Linked DNA regions of Drosophila melanogaster. The protein of the gene in region 1 interacts with the protein of each later gene in a pairwise test. Each region holds a gene or a part of one and is shown on either strand. Other genes may lie near its edges.

Region 1 (5,773 bases):
AGGATATAAAATGGCTCAACAGAACCTAGACTGCAGTTGGCTAAGTCATCGAAGCGTGTCTATAAGCACGGATCAGCGGAACCAAAATTGAATATATCTAGAAATTAAATACGTTTTGTTTAAGAATGTGTCTGCTTTCCAATAATATTATTCTACTTACTATACTGTCAGTCCTCGAAGTCCAGGGACTTTACCAGCAGCAAACAAGTACAGTGTTACCCACCGTAAAGTCCACTATGAGCTCAGACCATACCACCGGAATGGAGGAAAGTTCGTCACCTGTCGAGGAAACAACAACGCTTTCTCCGCCTATAAGATGCCTCAGTTGTAAATTTTGCTCACCCAATGAGGGGAAAACCAGAACTAGGAAGGGCAAAAAGATGTGCCACATAAAGTTAGGCGAATTGAACGGTTGCGTATCTATGTACTTCAACTTCAACAGCAGTGCTGGAGGACCAGATGGCTTTATGGTGAGAAGCTGCATTTCCGACATGGACGAGAGTTCACTGGAACACTGCGAGAAACATGCAGAACTCTGTGAGAGGTGTTTCGAAGACGATTGCAACTATGTGGAAATAGATAAAAATGGTTTGGCCACGAATGCAGGATCGCGAATAATATACTCAAGTCTAATGATCTTCTGTTTAGCCGGCTGGCTCTTTAGGAGTGAAAAATGCAAACTTATGATTATATTATAGGCCTGTTCAGCTTAATAATGGCAAATTGAAAACCAAAATTATGGAATTCGGCGAAATCACCATCGTCATGTAATGGAAAATGTAATTTGAGTTACCTAAGAATGCTACAAATACTTTCTGAGACATTTCCAACTGGCTCTTCTAGTGCACCCAAACAAATTTCTTCGAACTATTGTTAATATAAACTCTCATTTTGATTGATGCAATAAATATACACACATATATGTACAAAGTATATTATTAATGGTACTGCGGTTGATAAGGCGTTGTGATTATTTCTTTATTTGATAAGGCCTAGCAGGTTGAAAACTCTTTTACCACTAGCCATCAATGAAAACAGGGTTTTCCAAGGACATAATTACTAAACTACTGTGAAAGAGTAATTGTTTTATTAAAATGATTTATTTGGGATTATGGAAGTGTTCTTAAAATGCTTCAGCTCCTATAATTAGGTTATGTCTTTTTGTCTGTTGCTTTGTAATAGTTAACATTACTCATAGACCCAGGCACCCGGTAATTTGATTGGATCATCCAACTACGTGGAGGTGGTTGGATTACAGGGCACTGCGTAGAGCGATCACCACTCCCGTCAGAAGGCCGACCACGCCCACATTCCTGAGTGCGCCTGCTCCATTGAAGGGTACCTTGTTGCACTTGCTCTCCGTACACAATTCGCACTGATGGGCCTCCACTTTGGCATTGCACTGGTACTGCATCAGGTGGCTGGCAGCGGTAAAACATCCTCGCACTCCAAGTTCATCTGGGGGAAAATGTTGAAAGGCAATTGTTAGGATTTTTGCTGGCATAATAATAATGCAATTTGGGAATACCCTTTTACATTATAAAATAAAATCTTTGAAAACTATAGCATTGATTCGCTGTGCTTAGACTTGGTACCAACTTACTCCAGACTCCGCTGTAGCACGTTCCATTGGGGCAGTTGATCAAAGGGAGCGTGTCCGGATATTTGGCCGACCAGCAGCCGGAAACCTCATTCGAAATGCATGTAATGCACTGGAACTCGCCGGCAGCCACATTGCAGCCATTTTCGGAGCAGGAAGTGCAGGCATTGGTTGTAGAGCAGCCAGCCTCCAAGGTGTTTAGGCACCCTCGGGTAACATTGGTTCCTGAGGTCATGGTATAACACCCGACTTCCTGGTTGTACTTGGCCTGTCCGCAGGACTTCGCATTGGTAGCAACCTGTTGCTCCGCACAGTTCTCGCAAATGATACAGGAACCGGCCTCTCGTTCGTAGGTCGGACTATTGCAAAAGTCGGAGTTGCAGACGAGGCAACTGGGATCAGTGCTGTCCGACGCACACTTGATTTCCGTGGTGGCCGATGTGCAACCACGGGTCATGTTGCTCGCAGACGTTCCGGTGGTGAAGCACCCGGCATCGATTTGACTACATCCCGCGACCAAGGTATTTGAGACCGCATTGCAGTTCTCTCCTGAGCAATTATAGCACTGGCGACGATTGGCGGGGAATAGTCCCACATTGCACAGGGATGCCGAGCATGAGGAGCACGTGGATTCCGTTCCAGCAGCACAGGGGTCACCACATTGACGGGTCACCGTCTTGTTGTCATTCAACTGATTCACGCAGACCTGTCCATTATTGGGGCACACTGCATTGTATTGCGTATCCGTCACGTTGGTCGTGGCGCAATTCGCTTCGCCGAGGCACTGCTGGCACACCAAATTCAAATTGCAATTGTCTTCCTTGCAGGTCGAGCAGGATGGTAAGGTGCACGCAGTGCCATTAATCAAGCAGCCACGAGTTAGAGTTCCTATTGGGATACAGAAAATCAATAACTAGATGCAAGGGAATATGGTTCAGAGCAAAACTTCGTATGATTTCTAATATAAACTTATAATGATTTCTAATATAACTTATATATTCCTTATAAGTTGAGAGCCTGCAGATTCTAGTGGCGCCTAAGCTGTGCTAATTTCATTCAGATCATTTTCACGCCCACTCTAAAGCCCACAAAGCGTGCCAGATTCTACTGATACTTCAACAGAATGTTTAAATGTGTACCTTAAACTCCCACAAGCTGAATAAAGAGGTATCTGATGGTCGAGTGACTCCACTTTAGCGTTCTCTTCGTTATTAAATCAAATTATACGCAATATTTAAATCTTAGACAACAACACGAAAAAGCCAGGTAGTGCAGTAACTGCCAAATGAGTCACAACATCATAAACCTTTTTCGATCCGCACGAAATTAGAAAAGAAAACAAGGATCAATAGCTATCAAAAAGAAAAAGAGATAATCGCTTATCACCTTTGGTTGCACTGATCGATAAGAGGGCCACTACCCCCGTCTAAGAATATGAAATAGTCGGTCATGAGTCATACAAACCCACCTGCGTTAATAAGAGTATAGCATTCATTATCACACTCTATAGAAGTTTGAGTAGATGGACTCGTTAAACAATTTCCAGTGTCATTCGTCGTCGATGTGCACGAATAGCACTCTGCAATGGCAATAATAATTTGAAGTAAGTCATTTGAAAAAACTCATCCAAAATGTGGTAACCTACGGAGGGCTGAGGTGCTGTCCAGCTGGCTGGCAATGAAAGCTGCTATCACAATCATACACAGGCTGTATTCTCTCATGGCTCTCGGTTTTCTATTCTTTCTGGCTTCTCAACTGAAATGTCGGACCGGCTGGATCGACCACCGTTTTTTAACTGGCTCCCTCACTGTTTGGCCATATTTTTTTTACCCCCATTCGCATAATCAATTTCACCTGAACTCACTAACACCTGCCAAGCTCTTCTCCGCATGCAGTGGTTATCTGCTCTACACACATATATATGTTTGTATACATATATATATATATATATATATATATGTACAATCGGAGGAAGTCAGTTCTCTTTTAGCTGATAACTTCAATACCCAGGTGTAAATGTGCAAGTGTGTGTGTGTACAACGCTGTTCACATGCGATGATAGTTACCACAAGCCTGCATTTACTTTGGAGCTTTTGCAAAAGCTGAAAAATTAACCCATGCTGCCAACGTTCTTACCGTATTTCCTTAAACGAATATACATCAACAGTAACTTCCTGTTTCCGATCTAGCCGGCGGATAATTGAACACAATTATAACGATAATTAAATACTTTAATTAAAATTTGGTTTGCCTTGGCTGTACGGCAGTTATATGATATATTTTCTTTTGATTTTCATCAAATTAAAATATGGTCAAAAACTGTTGTATATCTCATACATATATTAATACTTACCATTATTTTTCGATTATCCCTATAACAGCAATATGATATAGTGGTCCAACCTATATGTATACTAACTGAAATTGAACGAAGACAAACATGACTGTATCGACTCTACTGTTGAATATACGAATCTGAATGAAATCAATGTACCATTTGCAAGGGTATAAAAATAAAAGGCGCCACCAAAAACTGCATGAATAATCTCAATTTCCAGATTTTACAGGTTCGACAAACTTTCCATTTGATTATGGATTGACTATAGTTCCATTGATAAAAAAAATAATGTAATTTGAACTAACAAGAAAGAACTCAATTCCTATCAGATACCCAGATTTAATTGAATAAATACACATTTGTAGGGTCAAAAACACTTTCTTGTTTCATAGTTTTTAACCCTTATATTCTACGAGGAAAGTGTACAATTATATATGTAAAGCTGTATTGCCCAATTTTCTGGCTAATAACATATAAACAATGTGCCTTAACTACAAGTCATATATCTTAACGATACTTGAGGATTGAAGTGAGACTTTTGTTTATATGTGAACGTTCGTTCTCAAGTTTATAATTTCGGTTACTCGTTCTTGAACTTATGTGTTTGCTTTTAAGTTTTTTTTTTTTTTATCGTTCGTTCCTAATTTAATATCGAAACTTAATTTTTCTCTCAGTGTCTTAATAAAAATTATTATTATTTATTGTATTTGGGCGACTTCTTAAATTCTGCACATGCCGGTGTTTTATGTTATTAAGGTTTAAGTTGAAGTCTAGACAAAATGATTCAATAAAACAAAGTACAAATAGTAAGTACATACTTTTATATCTTTTTATCTTTAGCATATCATTTAAGGTTTTTTTGAACCAGACTGGTATTCAACATAAAGCCATTATCTTCAAAAAATATAACCGAAATCTAATCTGGGTTATCTCCGGCGAATTTAGCACCGAGAGCTAATCATGTTGCTCACACTCAGTACCTTTAAGATCTTTTCTACGCGCGGACGTATTGCTGTTTAGTTGAATTTCTGGCATTGCAATTTAATAAATTAGTTCGTTGGAAAGCATGTTATACGTTGAAAAGTGCAAGTGACTTCAAGCCTAGAAGGTATAAATATTTTTGATCATTCGATCCGACTATGTCTGTCCATATAAGCGTCGAGATCTCGGAAACCTACGTCAACAAATTACAAAAAGCTTTAGATTCTTGGTAACGACTTCTTTGCAGAAGACCAAAAATGCTGGTCATTATATTATAGTAGAAGTTCAAGATTTTAAAGTGCCAGTGACGTTGAAGGCGTGTGGAATAAATTTTACCTGAGTAGCAGGTATCTGATAGTCGGGTAGCTCGACAATCGTATTCTGTCCCATTTTAGACAAGCTGTTTAATGGCTAATTACTTATTGATTAGAAAATCATTAATTCAAATTTATTTCTTGCTGTCTGGATTGTTTCACTTGCATAATATTTGTTATGTAGCGAAACATAACGTAGTAATCGTAATAAAATGCAGTCCTTTAAGAATGAAGATCTCCCGGAGAATCCTCGAGAACGATCGAATATTTTTTCTGCGTTATCCTTTTGGTAAGATAGTGCAAACGTGCGACGCCAACATATTTTTCAAGTGTGAACAATTTTTTCAAATAATTCAGGTATACCATTCCCACTTTTATTAAGGGGCAAAAGGTCACATTGGGTGCAAAGGACCTTTACAGGGCCTTGAAAGAGCATAGGGCCGGTAAGTGTTTTTGGTGTATATATAATAATATTTTCATATATACATCCTCATATCTCTATTTTGTGCAAAGAGTCGCTCGGCAACAAATTATGCTCTT
Region 2 (4,261 bases), on another chromosome or scaffold:
TGACGCGCATTTTTAATTGAATGTAGTTCGAGTCTCTTATCGTTCCAGTGTGTTAGGTCTTATACTTTTGGACCGGCTAAGGTTATGTGTCCATAACGCTGCACGCCTCAAGTTCATTCACCGATTTGCACTTTGTATGCACAGTGCGGCTTACCCATTTCTAAATGCTCCTCCACGAAACGACGATCCGGCGAAGAATTGAATATATAACTATATATATACTATATTGTGAAATCGGGGGAATCTCGAGACTTCTGCGTGCGACGCGCGTTTGGCGTCAAATGACAGTGAAGCTCTCGATCGGCTCGACTTTTATAGTGGGAGTCGGTCTCGAAACACTCTTTTTTTTTTGCAGTCCGGTTCTTGGATTGCGCCTTTGTTCCTGCGTAGAGTGCGTGAGAGGTGCGATTCTCCGAAGAATCGCAACTTTGCGGGAATGGTCGCGGGTAGGAGTGGGGCAAAGTGGGGCTTTTGTTTTGTTTCTGCTGACTGAGTGTGCTCAATTCCAGATCAGTTTAGCTGGTAGGTTGTCTTGCCACTTTCTTTCCGTTTGTTTTGCATTCGCATTTTGTGTTACTGTCACCCCCTGCCGTTGTTTATGCTCTAGAATTACCATATATTTTAGCGCAGACAGCCCTAAAAGAAGATCCCTGTAAGTGGCCTGGATATGGTTACGCTGTGCGCATCCAGGCTTCGCCTGGCCGATTATAATGGTAATGGATAGATAACTTGTGGTTTGGCTAGCAACTTTAATGTCACTTTAATGCATAAGATAGAATGGAGCCTTAGGTCTAGGTTCGTCAGCCGATGCGTATGTCGATGGCCAAGGGTGCCTCTTCGGTGCTGGAAGAGGTGGGTGCCAAGGTAGTCGATCTGGTGGTGCTGGTGGTTGTCGTGGTGGTGGTGCTGGTGCGTGAGGAAGGCGTTACTGGAGCTGCGGGTGGTGGAGCTAAGCTGCTTGAGCTCGCTTGCTTTGTAAGCTCCTTGATTCCCCCTTTATTTTCTAAAAGGAATAAGTGTTTTGATAAGATGTGAAGTTTTAATGGATTTGTAAGTATAATATGTGTAATACATAATTGGATACTCTAGATGAGTAAATGATTCAGATACACAAAATAAAGTATGTTAACATTGTCATTAAAATTAAAACAAACACTTCGCGCTCTATTTTTATTTACTCTATTATATTTACCCTAAAAACTTGACAAACATTGTTATCAGAGAGATAGGAAAAGAAAGCTGTAGACCAACTTGAAAAATAAACAAGTGATGGTGTAATAATTTCTTTCAACACTTTGCAATATACCAACTTTAATACTCTGACCCGATCTAATTTAAATATTTACCAAAACAAACTAGATACAAAAATATAAAATTTTTGTACAAAAATAACACTTACCTTCAAAAGGCTCCAGTGGCGCTTCAAATGGCCGCCGGTGCTCCTCATATTCCGGTGGTCCAAAGGCATTTGGAAACGGTTGGAAGTCATGTGGCTCGAATCTGTGGTGGTGGCCTTGGGGAGGTGGTCCTCCATGCTCAAATCCAAACCCGAATCTGGCAGGGTGATGGCAGTCTGGACCCGGAAAATGGTGATCCCAGTGCCGCTTATGGTGTCTGTGCCCATGGTAATTGCCATCCTCGTGATGGCGACGATGCCGATTGTGCTGGACGTGGACCTGGCTAACAACGGGCGACGATTCCTCGGCCAATAAATCGTCACTGGTGAAGGCACTGAAAACCGGAGCAAAATAACAAAGGGGAAAAAACCAGGTGAAGTGAAGAGAAAATACGGGACTAACAGATACGGATACTGACGCATTCTCGATGCCTGGGAACGGAGCAGCCTGGAGGAGCTGCAGACTCTGGGTGCTTATCACAGCGAACAGCGCCAGCTGGTTGAAATATGCGATTGAAATGGGGTTGGGGCCATCAATTTACGCTCTCTGGACTTACACGGGCGGCAACTGAGGCTAACATACTGCTATTCTGGATTCCTTGGACAACTGCACCACTTTAGCCGTATATATCTTTCGTGGAACGTTTCGCTTGAACCTCGCTCTTTAGCCGCACAAAATCGACTAAATCTCGCGGGTCGAGTCACTTTATTCCGCACAATTAATACTTGGACAATGTCGCATGTCGGGGTTTTTTTTTATCTGCTGCTCCCTTAGTCACTCAGATTTTGAGTTACTTTTGCGCGCATCATCGCCGCTCAACGCCATAAACCTGATCGGTTAATGATAATTCAGGTTTTTCATACCAACTACCAATTTACATATGTATGTACATAAGCCACCGCGTTCATAGGTCGATTGTTTCTTGAGCATATTGTAATTAGTCGGGCCGATGTTGGTCCGGAATAGCTGCTAACGTACATTAATTGCCAGTAAATGTGACAAAATGTTGTTAATTTTGCGGTCGTCGTCGAATTGAACCCCATTGAGTGCGTTGTGCGGCAGTGCGAAAACCTCACAGATTAACGTATTTGTTAGCCATTACACTTGGGAAAATATCTGTATAATAATTACTAACTTGTGAAGCAAGCGTAATTTACGCATATAATAAATTAAAATTAAAAAAAAAATTACTAAAAAGTTTGCCTATACTATATAAATATTAAGTATAGTAGTCAATTTAAATTTAGTTTTCCTTGCTGGAAAATCTAACATGAGAGACATCTAACCGTGTTGAAATTGTTCAAATTTGGCCACTTGTATATAAAACTTTTTTTGTGTATTAATTATAGCCAATCCAAATTTGGCTATCACTGAAGCACTTGTGGGCGATCCACTGAGCCACAAGAGTCACGATTATGCTAATGTGATATCGGGCTGTGATAAGACTCTTTTAGAAAGTTATCGAATGCTCCACATTTCACCCGATACATCTATGAACACTCCCACGCCCGTAGTGCCAGCATTTACGTCGATTTCTGGGTCTATTTGTCATTCCAGAGGCGTCGGGCCGGAATACAAATCAAAGTTAATATCTATATGTTGGACTCATTGTGATTCACGGCGTTGGAGATTCCGCCCCTTAGCATTGATCTTGAATTTAGCCGCCAATTGGCAGCGAGATTCGTCATAAGTCTGGGCAGTAAGTGACCAGTCGTCCAGTTCCTGGTTCCGTAAAACCTTCGTGATGTTACAATGGAAACAATGGCGCATTTGAATTTTCAACTATAATCTTTATTGATAACATTTCTCGGTCGCAGTTTATCGTCTTCAACTCTTATCATATTATGACGTACAGTTTGTATGTATGTATGTATATGTTTATGTATATCTCTATATATATATATATATATGCAATAAATATTTGTTGAGTGTGTTCTTGTTATATAATGTTTTTCCCTCCCACTTTCGGAGGTATGCGTGCCTATATGCCTGGTGCAGTAGCAATTATAAGCCGACATATCTGTCAGTATCTATATGTATATGTATATATATATATATACTTTGACTTCGCTTAACTTCTTCTGTGGGTGCGCAAACTTAGGGGAAAACTTGAGAGCAAATAATTTACATACACACATCCATATAGCACCGCGAAATGTACAAACAACTTGTGTGGAATTATTGGGGAACTTAGCGATAATGATAAAAGAACTTTAAACCATACCGTACCAAATAGATAATAACAACTAAAAGCTAATAACTTAAAATATACTTTTGTACAATTTTGCAGGGATCGTTTTCGTCTAGATTATATAGTACTCTCTATTAACATTTTTACGTCGTTGTTCATTCGGGTTAGTAAGTTTATTATCAATATTTATAATTGTGAATAGAGCTATGCGAATTTTTCAATAACTTTTGAAGTTTTCATAGACATTAAATTCAACCAGCGATTGCGTATAATTTTATCCATTGACTTGTATTGCAATTTCATTTTTAAAAACATTCATCAACATGATCAAATATTTGACTTCAACCGCTTTCCTTTTTAATTGCCTGGCTAATTGACCTACATTTAAATAATTATGTGTACGATTGTGTATATTAATAGCATTATGCATGTCGTAATTCAGCGTTGCCTTTTATATGTTCTCGTTTCAATACAATTCAATTATATTTCCTCAGTTGTGTATTCATATTAGTCCATTATTATTTATAATTGTGATAGGTACGTTTGGGAAAATGCTGCGAAAGTTCAAAGTGCATTGAGTGCGCTGTGCGTTCTATCGGATACTCATAGTTATTCCAGAGTTCCTGCCCTATAGGTATGATGTTATCGGATTCTGACTTGAGTCCCTAGCTAA
Region 3 (5,184 bases), 7.5 Mb from region 1:
GTAGCAAGAAAAGTGAGCGACGCAAAAACAAATTCCCGCAAACTAAATGTGTTTGTGGTGTTTGATAGCGTCAGCAATGTTGCCGCTTGGGTGGTTCACCCTTTGGCCACCACCCACTTTGAGCCGCCCCGCTATTCCGGGCCACTTTTTCGTTCTCCTTCGAGGAAAAGCGCGAGCGAGTGGGAGAAAGCAGCAGCAGCAGCAGCAGGTGAAGTAAATGGCAATAAAGGAGAAAAATTAATTTTATCCTTTCCATTTCCGTTGTTGCGCGCATCAGTGTGTGTGCGGTTTTCCTTCTCACTCTTTCCTTGGCCGTGTGGGTGGCAGTTTTTCCCGCACATTTTTTTTAGTTTTCTTCAGCTTTTGCATTATTTTAACGTGTGCTCTTTTTTCCCACCCTCACCTCGACTCTATTTTTTTTCCTTCGTTATAAATCTTGAGGTTGAGCACTCGACTGGACGCCATTTTTTATTTTTCACCTTCAGCCCCCACCCACCTGAACCCCACCCTTTACCATTCCCTCCCCATTCCCCCTTTTAGTCGGACGTCGCTTATTTTTCAATTCTGTCAGCTGCTTTGGTCAGAAAATGTCGCTTGGGAGCGGTCGACGGCATCCTTTTCTCCGATTGCAAAAGTTGAGATGGGATGTGTGGGGTATATATGCTTGTATGCTATCTGCAAAATAATTTATAGATGCCTCAACCAAAATGGACAGAGTAAAGGGTTCCGTTTCCTTATTTACTTTTTTATTGAGACTCCGTTTTTTTTTTCATTTTAGATACTGAAATTCAAGAAGGCACGTTGTATAGTGGATCTCAAGGGGGTTTTAGATAAAGAATCACTTTTACAAATCAATTCTGGACATTAGATACAATAGAGACTTCAGAAACAAGCAAGTGTTTCTTAAGAATTTACGGTAGAGAACTATAGCATTACATTCCTTTAATTTTGTCATGGGTATTCTCATATTTGTACTAATGTCTATGATGTCCATGATGTTCGTGGTGTCCATGGTGCTCATGATGTTCACGGTGATGATCGCCATGATGTTCCGGATATTCATGAGGATTTTCGTGAAAATGACCGGACTCAACTGGATTAGTTCCATGGAAATGGCCAGATCCCACAGGACTTCCGTAACCAGGCTGATATTGGTTTGGAGAACCTTGTCCAGCGAATCCTCCTTGACCCGGGTGGACTCCGCCTTGACCAATTCCCACCTGGCCACCAACTCCACCCTGTCCAGTGAATCCTATTTGTCCACCAAAACCTGCTTGCCCGCCGATTCCTCCGAATCCTCCAAATCCTCCTTGCCCTCCATATCCTCCTTGTCCAACTTGGCCGAATCCATTCTGAGCGTTCACAGCGGTCACCAGTGCAAACAGAGCAATCTATAGTTATAAATTTGTTATTATAAAAATATTTCTAAGTTAGTTAAGATTTCTATAGTAGAAGACGCACCAGTAGTTTCATCGTGGCTGAAGTTTCGGTACTGAGGCGGCTCTAATATTTTTTTGATTTTTATACCACGATTTGGTAATATCAAGTAGGTAGCTGAAAGGTATTCTACCTGGCTGAGGGACTTAAGTTTGAGTCTCTACCTGTAAAAGGAAATCACAGAAAAGTATTGCCGTCAACATCTGGTTACGATGGAAAATAAAATAAACCAGTTTATTGGAAGAGGGAAAATGGAAAAACAGAAAAATCCGGAATTGAATAGAATACTAATACTAATTCAGTACCATATTGAAATGACGGAAATATAAAGGAGTTTTTAAATTATTTGTTTATTTATATTTATTTATTTGATATTTGAAAAGTTTTTATCAACATAACATTACTCGATTTTTTTGATCAGGAAAATCCGGATAATATAAAATCATTAATAAGACATTACTCAGATACAAGATATAACATAGTGACTTTACCTTTTTTGAAACATTTTCTACTGTTGTCTAAATATCAATGATTTCGTATTTATTTTTTCCAGGTATTTCATCAGTAGGAACTTCGCCACCGGGAATTGGAGATTGGAAGCTGCCATGCTGATCGTCGTTTGAGGTTTCGTTGTGAGGTCTTTCGGTACCAGGAAATCCACTTTGAGGTGGACCGCCTCCTGGGCAACCGCAATGCGGACACCCTCCTGCTGGAGATCCAGATGGTGGGGGGTGGTGTGAAGAAGGAGGCGGAGGTGGCGGAGGAGGATATCCCTGCCAATGGTGGCCACCATACAGATATCCCCCTGGTGGTGGATAATGGGGCGGTGGTGGAGGTGGACCGTATCCCTCCCAAAAGTGACTTCCATGTCGATGGGGGCGATGAGGCGGTGGTGGAAAAGGCTGGTGCTGGTGTCCGTGTCCACAGCGTCCACCAGCACCATGTCTGCCACGATGGTGATGATGGTGACGAGGGGGAGGTGGACCTCCGTGTGGGTGATGTCCTCCTCCAGAAAATCGCCGACAGCCCATCTGATCGAGTCTCAGATGAATTTAGAGCAACGATCTGAAAAGATGTATGACTAATATTTTTGAGAACAAGATGCATTTGAATCTTTTTATATGCAAAAATTATTATATATGTTTATACGTCCGTTGTACATACATATGGTAAGCTGATAAGAATATTTTCTATGTATATATTCATTGACTTACATTTTTTCCTATTTCTATCTTAATGGAAACAATATACAGTAAATAAATGTTTGTTTTGCAACTGGTTTATTTTAGCGTACTTATTAATACGTCATTTATTTGTTGCTTTTAATAGCTAAAACAAGTTAGAATTCGATTTGTTGACGCAGTGGCCGAATTCATTGATATATATAAGTCTGGATATTTTTTTCTCTATCAATAAATATTTTAAAGAATAATTCCTAATACAAGTAAAGGCAAAAAGAAAAACCAGCGCACAATTAATTGCTTTGAATTTTGTTGTTTTGAACACAAGAATTGGATCAGCTGCTTAAATGTTATTTACAATTTAGAGTGGCATTGTATTTGGTTGCCAAAAAATAATATATAGGTTTATTTTTGGAAGAGTTGTTTGTTGATAACATATCGCCGCCAAAAATACTACAAGTTCAAATGCTTATGAGATTAAAAGTAAATTCGGAGGTGAAAAGCAACCATTTAAATAAGCAATATTGTTAAACTTTAAAACTGTGAAAATTATATTTGATTATCTAATTACATTTTCAATCTATCTCTTTATTTGTGGAGTCTAGTGATAACCAAAGAATTAAACAACTAAATCGTCTTAATTTCCGAGAAGCTGCTTAGCTATTATTATGCCTACGCTTGCCTTAAGTATTTATCCTTGAGTAAGGAAATCCTTCTGGGCGGAAAGAAAATCCAGCGGCATAAAGTTATGTGCCCAGGGCCAAAATTTTAATTCCAAATTTAATTTTCAGCCATTTTCCTCATTTTCCCCGGATGAATTTGTCAGGGCGTGTCGCATTCGGAAACCACTCGCCGGGGAATGAAGTGGAGACAAAGACATCTCGGGAAAAGGAAACATTTTTTGGCTTATGCCAAAATTACATCAAAAAGCGCTGCGGGTATGTAGGTATGTAGACAGACGTGGCAATTCCCATCTTAGGATTGAGTAAAGTGGCAAAAGGACGAGGGGCAGGCTGGAGCTGAAGGATTGCTGAGCCTTGGAAGTGGCAGGGAGTGAATGTCGTGAAGATATGCCAGGACCCTTGGAGAAAAGTTGAGCGGACCGAGGAACAGGGTTTGGTGATTGCTATCTTCATAATGACTTTGAAGTGTCAAACAATTTTGGGGAATTATCAACGCCCGCCTCGTCTTTCGCAAAGGTGAAAATGAAAATTGTACTTTTTGTTTGACTCAAACTTGATGGGGCCAAACTGAAGATATAATTATAATTTAATTGAAATGAAATTGTCGCTTAAGTCGAGTAGAAAAGGAATGGTATTGCGGCATTGGTAGACTCCAGGGGTAAAGCTCTCAACTTAATATTTTGCTGGCTAAAAATTTGGGCAGATGCGAAATACTCTTGGCTGAGCTGTAAAAGTGAGTCAATAAAATACACAACTATTTGCGCACCAATTTAATATGCCACATAGGCAAGTTAAAGGAGTTCGCCCAGCTCAAGTTTTCCGAGGGATGCGACAAAATACATTGGGTTGACAGAAGCCCATGAAGGGCCAAAAAGAAAAGCACACCGAGTTTCTGAACAGGTCCGAACAATGTCCGAGGAAAATCAATTTAATTTTTACTCATGTTCATGGCGTGACCCCTCGATAATCCATGGAAAAGGGGACGAGGTCGTCCTGCTGCTGAGCCGCCTGAGGTGGAAATTTCACTTAAGTCACTTTCAACTTTCGCAAGATGCCATCAAAGTTGGCTCCAAAGTTACTGGTCAGTTGATTTTTCCACCTCCTGGGGCGGCGGCCATTACCACCGATATTTACATTTTACCCAACCCACGGGGAAAACCTTTTCTCGAACACGATCTCCCCCAGCGCTCTCCAAACTTATGAAAAGTTTCGGTGAATTTGCGATAATGCTTTTTTTGGCTGGTGGTATATACATTTAACTTCAGCGCACGTGTGTCAGCTTTTCATCATATACTCTTCACAATTTTCAAACCGTGAAGTGCTTTTTCATGAGACCAGAAGAAATGAGTAAAGTTTTTTTTTAAAATAATTTTTTATATATTTTTTATCCCAAGAGCTTCAAGTTCTATTATAATGCCCAAAAATGTAACGTATGTTTAAGTTAGTTCATATACGAATATGCTCCTAAAGCATATATTTATGGTGTTGTCGTATGTACAACAATGTATGTGCATATGAAAAGGTTTTGTGAAAAACAATTCTGGTACCCACTGTGTGCCGCTAAGGGAAAACAAAATGGCATACTTGTACTGTATGGAAGATGATGATGAAATTGGAAAATCTGACCGAGACAGGATACCGAAAGGGGTGTGAACGTCGGGTGGCTGCCACTTACATGACATGACAATAACTTTGACTTGACCATTCGACCGTTGCTCATATCTGAGTATCCTTCCCAGCTGCCCACCACTCCATATTCAGATCCTTCTGCATGTTTGTTTGTGCTGGTGCTGGGTTGATGGCGAGCAGACAGGGAGGATGGGATGAGTGCAGACAGGCAAGGATGTGTGGTGCACAGGTACACACGCTCACTCGCACACTCA

The links. Proteins that work in one complex are often made in the same cells at the same time.
Region 2: the proteins of CG10650 (region 1) and CG9312 interact in a two-hybrid assay, tested with the Drosophila melanogaster proteins (one large-scale study listed by BioGRID).
Region 3: the proteins of CG10650 (region 1) and sala interact in a two-hybrid assay, tested with the Drosophila melanogaster proteins (one large-scale study listed by BioGRID).

The regions. Positions count from the first base shown.
Region 1 is NT_033779.5:18,992,534-18,998,306, forward strand, and holds CG10650 (uncharacterized protein), read right to left. Parts: upstream 3,402-5,773; 5' UTR 3,322-3,401; coding exon 3,246-3,321; intron 3,180-3,245; coding exon 3,069-3,179; intron 2,489-3,068; coding exon 1,604-2,488; intron 1,459-1,603; coding exon 1,253-1,458; 3' UTR 827-1,252; downstream 1-826. Other genes in the region: CG46465 (uncharacterized protein), read left to right, coding at 126-698; CG31792 (uncharacterized protein), read left to right, coding at 5,446-5,522, 5,591-5,676, 5,747-5,773.
Region 2 is NT_033777.3:13,763,576-13,767,836, reverse strand, and holds CG9312 (uncharacterized protein), read right to left. Parts: upstream 2,082-4,261; 5' UTR 1,978-2,081; coding exon 1,954-1,977; intron 1,893-1,953; coding exon 1,816-1,892; intron 1,732-1,815; coding exon 1,400-1,731; intron 1,004-1,399; coding exon 801-1,003; 3' UTR 734-800; downstream 1-733. Other genes in the region: Cht5 (chitinase 5), read right to left, coding at 155-158.
Region 3 is NT_033779.5:11,482,499-11,487,682, reverse strand, and holds sala (spalt-adjacent), read right to left. Parts: upstream 2,977-5,184; 5' UTR 2,652-2,976; intron 2,503-2,651; 5' UTR 2,469-2,502; coding exon of another isoform or gene 1,956-2,468; 5' UTR 1,929-1,955; exon of another isoform or gene 1,900-1,928; intron 1,602-1,899; 5' UTR 1,474-1,601; coding exon 1,462-1,473; intron 1,392-1,461; coding exon 975-1,391; 3' UTR 734-974; downstream 1-733. Other genes in the region: CG43355 (uncharacterized protein), read right to left, coding at 1,956-2,468. UniProt on the Drosophila melanogaster protein: Likely to be involved in the establishment of the head.